Oryza sativa Japonica Group: one gene and its partner. The protein of the gene in region 2 interacts with the protein of the main gene of each other region in a pairwise test. Links are inferred from orthologs where the notes say so. Each region holds a gene or a part of one and is shown on either strand. Other genes may lie near its edges.

Region 1 (4,050 bases), on a different chromosome or scaffold from region 2:
CGTAAGTTTCTGCAGAGGTACATGAAGTGATGCTGCCGTTGTACGCTGTTCCCTGGCCTTCACGGCCTGCCTGTCTCTGTCTGAGATCGCTGTGTTTCTGTTTCTGTAATTTGAGTGGAAGATCTATATATGACACAACTGTAACATCTGCTTAATCTGGATGGCACATTTTTCCACTAAAAATGGAAAAAAAATCTATGCTTGTGTATTATTTGCTTGGTGGCTAAGCTTATGAATTGTTTTAATTCAACTTTACCTTTTATACGTGTCCTCAAGCCAGATATACATGATGGTAATGCTAGACTGCTAGCTGTAACTTATTGATAAGAAAATATTCAACAATCATCAAAAGATTTCGGAGTGTTCCAGTTGAGTTTGATGTCGTGATACAAAATTTACCTTGTTATGATGTGGCTACCATTTATCAAATTGCCGAGATAGCAAAGGTCTGGCAAAATGTCAAAGAAATCAACCAGACCTAGTCCTCGAAGACAGAAAAATTTTAAGGGAAACATTATAAAGTAATTGGCGTCAAACCGAACAGTATACAGTTTAAAATCAATGGAACTATGGAAGCATTCAACTCGACAACTATACGGTTTGATTCTGACGACAAAAACGAGCATCTCCATTCTTGCTTAATTCTGACGTAAAACCAGATCCAAGACTAGAAGCACCAAAACATATCTTCGTAAATTACTTATGTACTGAGCAAACAAGGCAAAATACTCCAGTCTATGGATTTAAGCACAACGGATGAATCATTCTACACTATAACAAAGCAAAAGAAATGGGAAAAACAATCGTAGCTCCAAAACGCAAATCTGTACACACTGCCTACACTGAGCTCATTAATCTCACAGCAAATTACCCACCAAAGAATGAAAAGAACCCAGCTTTCTTCTTGGGCCTCTCCTGCTCCTCTACCATAACTGCTGTCATTGCATCTCTTTCCACCAACCGCCAAGTCGCCTGCTCCAGAGCAAGACCAGCTGGTGTGGGTGGGTCGTTCAGAACCAACGGCACACCTCTATTTGTACTCCGGATCACCTCCGCGTCCTCTGGCACAACACCTAGCAAAGGCAAGCCAAGCATTTCTTGAACATCAAGTGCTGACATCATATCCTCTCCCTTCACCAGGTCTGGGCGTACTCGGTTGACAATAATCTTAATGTCTTTGATGCCGTCACACTCCAATAGCCCTGCAACACGGTCAGCATCACGGAGAGCCGTAATGTCAGGGGTAGTAACAAGCACGGCCTCTTCTGCAGGGGCAATAGCAGTGACAAACCCTGCATCAACACCTACAAAGAAAAATCTGATTTAAGCAATCTGGCATAACATATGTGGATGCATATATAACTGGTTATAATCTAACATTATTATCAGGCAACTGCAGATAATATTTGTGGCACTGGAATTGATCAAATCAGTGGTGACAATTGCAGTGCTCTAACTTATTATCTGTGAACATGGGATAGTGAATACAGCACTATAGAGATAGAAAAGGAGAAGGTTCCTTCTTTTTTAAGAAAGAGAGGATGACATTCCCATTTCATTAAGGAAATGTAATAGACGTTTAACCAGTGATTACAAAGCCAAAAGGAACCTATTACCATTTCACCGGTGCCATGTCCTAAGCAAAGGATAAAGCTAAGTCTTGCAACATTTTCACTTAACAGACCAGCACTAAAAGGTGAAGGTTCATAATTATATATTGACATGACAGAATTATGCTGCAGTTAGTTATGGATGGTCAATCACTCAATCAGTGGGGTTGAAATTTACAGCTCACAACCAAATTAAACAAACTGATGCCTGGCCTAAACAACACCTATATGTGGCAGGTAAGAAAACAAAATCTTAAGTTACAATGATCAAAGGATAACTTGATATGGCTCTAAAATCTAAAATAGAAAATAGGTAATATGCATAAATGGATTGACTTTGAGAATATAAGTTGCATCACGGTTATGCACTGGCATCATAAAAAGTTTGACTTGCATCATGGCTCTTAAAGTTACAATTCTGGGCAATAGATAGGGATGGGCAAGCGAGAACAAGATAAACATCACAATTATTAATTGCGTTAAAGCAAATCGAGTGGCATATAACATCCATCATCATAAGTTGATGGAAATGGTGGTGGGGCGGACTGACCTGCAGGGCAGTCGATGAGGATGAAAGCGGGTGGGTTGGCGGCGCGGCGAAGCGCGTCAGCGACCCAGGTGAGGGTCTTGGAGCCGAAGGCGAGGGGCAGCTTGGAGCGGGGCTTGGAGAGGCAGAGCAGCTGCAGGTCATGGAGCGCGCGGTGGCGGACGAGGGCCTGGTCGAGGCGGCAGTCCCCAGCGAGCACGTCGGCGGCGGTGAGGTGGACGCGGTTCTCGAGGCCGAGGAGGAGGTCCAGATTGCGCAGGCCCGCGTCGGCGTCGACGGCGACGGCGGAGAGGGAGAGGCGTGCGAGGGAGGCGGCGAGATTGGCCGTGGTGGTGGTCTTACCCACGCCGCCCTTGCCGGAGGTGACCACCACCACGCGCGGGGTGGGACCGGACAGCTCAGGCGCGGTGCGGCCGCCGTGGCGCGCGGGGGAGGAGGCCGGCGGGGGGCACCGGGAAGGTAGGAGGAGGCGCGGGGCGAACGCCATTGGAGTTAGGGTTAGGGTTGGGGTTCTCTTCTCTTCAAGCGGAGATCCTCAGGAAGGAAGGAAGGTGGGTAGTGGAGGTGGTAGCGGTGTCCGCTTTGGCTGCTACTCTACTTGCCTAGTACTAGCATCGTTTAGGCCTAGAAATGAGAAACTTCCCAACATTTTAAGCCCATGAATTGTTTGCTCCCTACCAAAATAAACCCACTTATAATATATTCTAAAATAAACCAACTTAGAATAACATGATATCCTATTCTAGATTTATTTAATTTGAAAAATGTTACCATTGAATTTTGCATATATACGAGTAGAAGAAAATAAATCATCATACATTGTACTCCCTCTGTCCTATTTTAAATGTTTTTTTTTTACCATTCGAAGGAGGGAATCAGGAAAATGGGTGAAAGCCCCCTACAATGGCATCGCATGTCAGTGGTAGTGACTACTCCACCACAACTGTTTAGTATAGATATATAATTTTGTTAAAAATTTTGTAAAAGAACAAATCCTAGCAAAATAAATGGTAATTACATACATACGTGCAAAAATCATATATTTGCAAAAGTCATATATTAAAAGAAGGATTGATATAAATTGTTTGGTTAAAAAAACAGATAGCTTAGTATAGGAAAATACCAATGTTATACACTATTTTTCTAACATGTCATGTTCTGAGTGGTTGATCTTTCTGCGGCGACTCCTTATCCTGAACTACTACTCCGTTAAAAAAAAACAAATTCCTAGCTACGAATCAAGGTTCATTGGTAGGATTGGTCTCTTTTTTTTTTTTGAAAACGGAGGGGGTAAATGCTTAAATACCAGAGAATCGTTACATGGATAGCATTTTATCCTAGAAACTAAATTAAACATAAAATGCTACTGTAGCTAAAAGAAAAGGTGAGGCCAGGGAAACACTTCCAAATGTGTCTGTCAATCTGGTACTTTCTTTTGCAGAATAGTATTTATACAGAAACTGAAAACAACAGATAGGCAGGCAGACAGACACAATGCAGAGGTGGCTGCTACGGTGATGGACCTCACCCAATATTCGTTGGGTTCCCCACTTTCACAACAGATCACTCCAGATCACCAACCCATTCATAACTTCTCCATATTTATATGCAAATGCAACCAACCCCCACCACCAGTGAATCATCAGGTACCTTATCGCAGCCAAACGATTGTATTGATGGTAAACGCTAACCCAAGCTCATTGACACAGGTACATAGCGGTATGGCATGGGTAAAGAGTACTATTTGACGCAAGTACAGCAAACCGTTTCTGGGTCCTTCATACTGCATAAGCAATCACACGCATCCATCTATCTGTATCTCAAGTTCATGTCAAGCTCGGGCCCGTACATGCCGCCAGGTACATGACCAGCCATTGCTGGGTGCATCTGCTT
Region 2 (4,253 bases):
GGAAGGGACTCATAAACCATCATTTCTACCAAGTTTCATGTAACTCGCATATATGGTTTGGGAGATGTTAGTTGAGAACCGAAGAGGACAGAATCTGATATTTCTCTGCTTGTTATTGTTATAACTCTTGTTAGTTGTTATGGTTGATGTTGATGATTGACAAGTATGTAACTTGATGGTATAACTGCTGTTGTAATGTGCCTCTAAATGTTCTAGAGAAGACTCGAATCGTACTTATTGTTGATTATAGTGGAAGCTTGGAGTGAACCATTTTGTCCCGTGGTTTTTCATTCCTTACACTGAGAAGGTTTTTTCACGTAAATCACCGTGTCTTGTGTGCATGTGTTTGTTGTAGGTACGCTGTTGATTTGCTAGTTGAAACAATTCTCAAAGTTCATGCGAAGATGAAGGGTTAATTTTGTGAAATATGTTTGCTGGTTAGTGAATTGTAGTTTGCACATTGAAATGATTTGGTTCATCTCCAACAAGTAGAATGTAAATTTAGTTTCAATTCAAAAACGGCAGCTTGATTGCATGACGAACACATGATGTTTACCAACCAGAAGGTCTTGAGCTCGATTCCTTGCGCTTGCACGCTTTAATTTTGTTTCACTAGGACCTGGTATGAATCTTAATTTGGATCAGATGGACCAAAAATAACATATTTGTAAAGAAAAAACTAACGCCATATTTTTATCGTTTTGTATATTCTTAGCACAAAATGTGTTTTCTCCTATAGGAAAAATATGCAAGTACGCCAAGTACTCCCTCTGTCCCAGTTTACTAGTCGTTCTAGGAAAGAGATGACAAAATATGGTGCTGGAAAAATGACCAACGTGCCCCTACATTAATCATTTCAATGCTTAAAAATTAACACAAAACTAGTACTGCGCCTGTCATTCTGATATGTCTGCAACCAGCATGGGGAAGAAAATTAATAGAAGTACTCATACTAGTGGCTAGCCTGCTAGCTGCCCTACGCCTAAACGATCCTCTTTCTGGGACAAACTCTACACCCCAGCGACAGCTAAACCGGGACGGAGGGAGTACTAGCCACCTACTGTTCTCCGTCCAGCCAGGGCCACACGTGAGACTGACCAGTGGGCCCCACTGTCGGTTGTACCCCAGTTGAGGTGACCACTACGCCACCACCTTTCCAATTCCATTCCCATCCCAAGTCCAACCAAGAGTGGAGCAGAGACTCACTGGAGACCAAACCCTAGCTGCCATGGCAATGGCGACGTCGATCTCCGCCGGCTTCGGCGGCGAGCCCGGCGCGGTGCTCGCCCCGTCCGCCTCCGTCCTCCCCGCCCCGCGCCGGCGCAACCCCGCCACCAGCTCCAAGGTCCGGTCTCCATCTCTTCTTCTTTCCCCTCCCCCCAAAACCCTAGATAAGATGGAGGAGGTTGGGTCTCCCCGTGGCCGGATGCCATCTCGGATCCCTGCGCGCTGATGAAGATGAGATGATAGATTCGTACCTCTTTTTGTTTTTTGAAGGAACAAAAGATTGTGCCGCTGCACCTCGTTTTGGGGGTGGGGGTGGGGAATGGGGAGGAGAAAAAAATAATGAGAGAGGAGATTTTTCATGTTGAGCGTTCTCGATTCCAACATCCTCTTGGATCTAGTGCTGTAGAATACTAGAATTCGTTACCAAAGCGGCGGTTTTGGTGTGCTCTGATTCTGGTCTGTCGCGAGGTTCACGAGGAACTGTTGGGATTTAGATATTAGTCAAGCTGTGAAATTTGATATGTAAAGCTGCGGAAGACGCAGCTATACATTTGCGACCTCTGGTCTAGTTTGTGTTAGCGTACAAGCAAGTGTAATTGCTAGGTGTAGACACAAAATGCTGGCCTGGGTGTCTCGTGTAGTCAAATGTTTTCGAAGCACATCTGCTGTTATGAGTTAATATTAGATGTTTGAAGAGAGTGAAAACCTAACTGTGTTGTCAAATATGGGTGTGAACTGGAAATGACAATGTTCTTATTTAGGATTTGGCATACAGCCTATCTTTCTATATCTCAGTCTTAAATAACCTTTGTTTTATACCTCCTGAGATGAGTATTAGTCATATTACAGTAGGTCAGGATAGCACATTAGTTGCTTGTCCCATTCTTGCCTATAGGAGTTCTGAGCAAATTATAAAGTTTTTGTTTGGTTGGTTTCTGAATGGTAACTGTTTCAAATGCTTAATAACAACTCAAAAGTGTGTATCATTCTACCATGCTCTTGTGCTGTTCTGGTTCTGCTCAATTTAATATTGGATGACTTTTGGAATGAAGCGACCAAATGTGCTAACTCCACTATTATTTTCATAGATATGCTGCTGAGACTATTGTAGCAAAGACTCTTCTTGAATTGTTTAATGTGCTAACAGATCCTGCTTGGATTGACACTGGTACTGGTAGTGATGCCGAACTTGAATTTTGGCAAAGCATATAGTGCATTCACACACGCGTACCATGTTTCTTTTCCTATTGTAAACTCTTTGGAGTAACCTTGTTTGAACTTCTCCGTAATGGTTGAAAATCATAATCTAATGAAAATTTCTGGTTTGTCTTGATTCTTGAATGTGTAGTTGCATATAATTCTCAGCTTTAGATTGCATTCACATTGGATATTCTTTGCATCATAGAGTTGTTTTTTTTCTATGGAATAGCATATTTCAGTGGATTATTAGCTAACGACTTTACCTCTACTTCTGTAGGCACAGTTTAGTTCATTTCCTCGTGGACGATCTTGCAACATCATGCTTACTCCTAAGCATCTAGGCATTGAGCACCAAAGCTGTTCAAAGAGCTCCATTCAGACTTTTGCTCTTTCAAGGAATGACTTCTCTCCTATTGCTCAAGAGGTGGAAGGCTTTCTTCACAACATTGTTAACATGGGGTTTCTTGATCGTCTGAAATTAGCATGGAAGATAATCTTCCCAGCACCAAGCATTAAGGAGAACTCTAATGCAAACATCGCAAAGCAGAGGCTTAAGATGATACTGTTCTCCGACAGGTGTGAAGTGAGTGACGAGGCAAAGAAGAAGATTGTTGAGAACATCGTTGAGGCACTCTCTGAATTCGTGGAGATAGAATCACGAGACAACGTCCAGGTGGATATCTCAACTGATGCTGGCCTTGGCACAGTATATTCTGTGACCGTTCCTGTTCGCCGTGTCAAGCCTGAGTACCAGGAATCTGAAGAGCAGTACAGAGGGAAGATCGTAGGTGTTGACTTCAAGGACACTGGAGAAACATCAGGCAGCGTCGACGTTACGTTCGATTTCTTCGTGCCCAACAAGAACTACTGACCGTTGTATTCCCCTTTTGCTTCCGAGTATCCCAGAACTCCTTGGTTAGAATGTTCAATTTGTTGAAGGCTTTCTTCGCAATCTTGGTTAGTCTAATGTACATATCTAGGCTTTTGTTTGTCTCTGCGTTTCATGTAATTTTATTTTGAATTTTTGTTCTGAAGGTGGCAAATATCAGTACCGTGGGGTTAGTCCAACTTGGATTTTCCGAAGAAATGTTTATTTATAAGAAAATAACGTTGTGCGCTCGTGCTGATGTTTTGCCAGATACACTATGTTCTGCCATGTCCCAATTTTGTAATGTGATTAAATCAATCATCACCTGATGCATATCACGACTACACCATGTTCTGCCATGCCCCAGTTTTGTAATGTGATTTAGTTAATAATCATCCGATCTTCATACTGCAGAACACATATCTGATACTAGCATTTGTCACGGTTGATCAAATATTGATACACCGGCTGAACTAAATTTCTAGTTTGTGGACTTGTGGTAGATCCATCCTGAATTCTGGCCGCTCAAGCAGGTCTGCCATTAGTCTAGAACCTTGGGGTCAGAAAAAAATGGTACATTCTATGGAGCATAGATATCTTCCAAATGCTCAAAGATAAAGTGAACGCAATGTTGCTGCGCCAATTCTTTCGAAGAATAAACACCGAAAGGAATGAGAAGCTTAATTAGTTAGATGGTTCCTGCCAGATGTTTCGTGGTTGGGACAGAGAGGCCAGCTGCCAAGAACATGGTATATGACAGGGCATTACAAAAGATATATACAGGGTAACTACATTTTTCTCTTGACTGACAAGGGAATAACATTCTTTGCCAAAAGACCAAAAATACAAAAACTAAGGTGATCACCAGGCAGGGGATGATGGTGCACAATGGCTAATCCAATCTTCTGGTCAAATCGAAAAGGGCGTATGTACATATACATATTACAACCTAGTTGGA

What was found.
Region 1: the proteins of cell division topological specificity factor homolog, chloroplastic (region 2) and septum site-determining protein minD homolog, chloroplastic interact in binary tests that used the Arabidopsis thaliana proteins (3 or more experiments, as listed by UniProt). The link is inferred for Oryza sativa Japonica Group from reciprocal best matches to the Arabidopsis thaliana genes MINE1 and MIND.

The regions. Positions count from the first base shown.
Region 1 is NC_089040.1:565,644-569,693, reverse strand, and holds septum site-determining protein minD homolog, chloroplastic, read right to left. Parts: upstream 2,733-4,050; 5' UTR 2,645-2,732; coding exon 2,161-2,644; intron 1,305-2,160; coding exon 868-1,304; 3' UTR 669-867; downstream 1-668. Other genes in the region: uncharacterized protein, read left to right, coding at 1-30; uncharacterized protein, read right to left, coding at 3,967-4,050. UniProt on the Arabidopsis thaliana protein: Together with ARC3 and MCD1, regulates FtsZ ring positioning in chloroplasts in an ARC6-dependent manner. Calcium-dependent ATPase required for the correct placement of the plastid division site. Inhibits FtsZ filament and ring formation in the plastid.
Region 2 is NC_089046.1:19,399,969-19,404,221, reverse strand, and holds cell division topological specificity factor homolog, chloroplastic, read left to right. Parts: upstream 1-1,164; 5' UTR 1,165-1,228; coding exon 1,229-1,345; intron 1,346-2,704; coding exon 2,705-3,298; 3' UTR 3,299-3,546; downstream 3,547-4,253. Other genes in the region: uncharacterized protein, read right to left, coding at 4,245-4,253. UniProt on the Arabidopsis thaliana protein: Acts as a topological specificity factor during plastid division and specify plastid constriction sites (such as the Z-ring) in a MCD1-dependent manner. Especially involved in epidermal plastids division in a FTSZ1-dependent manner.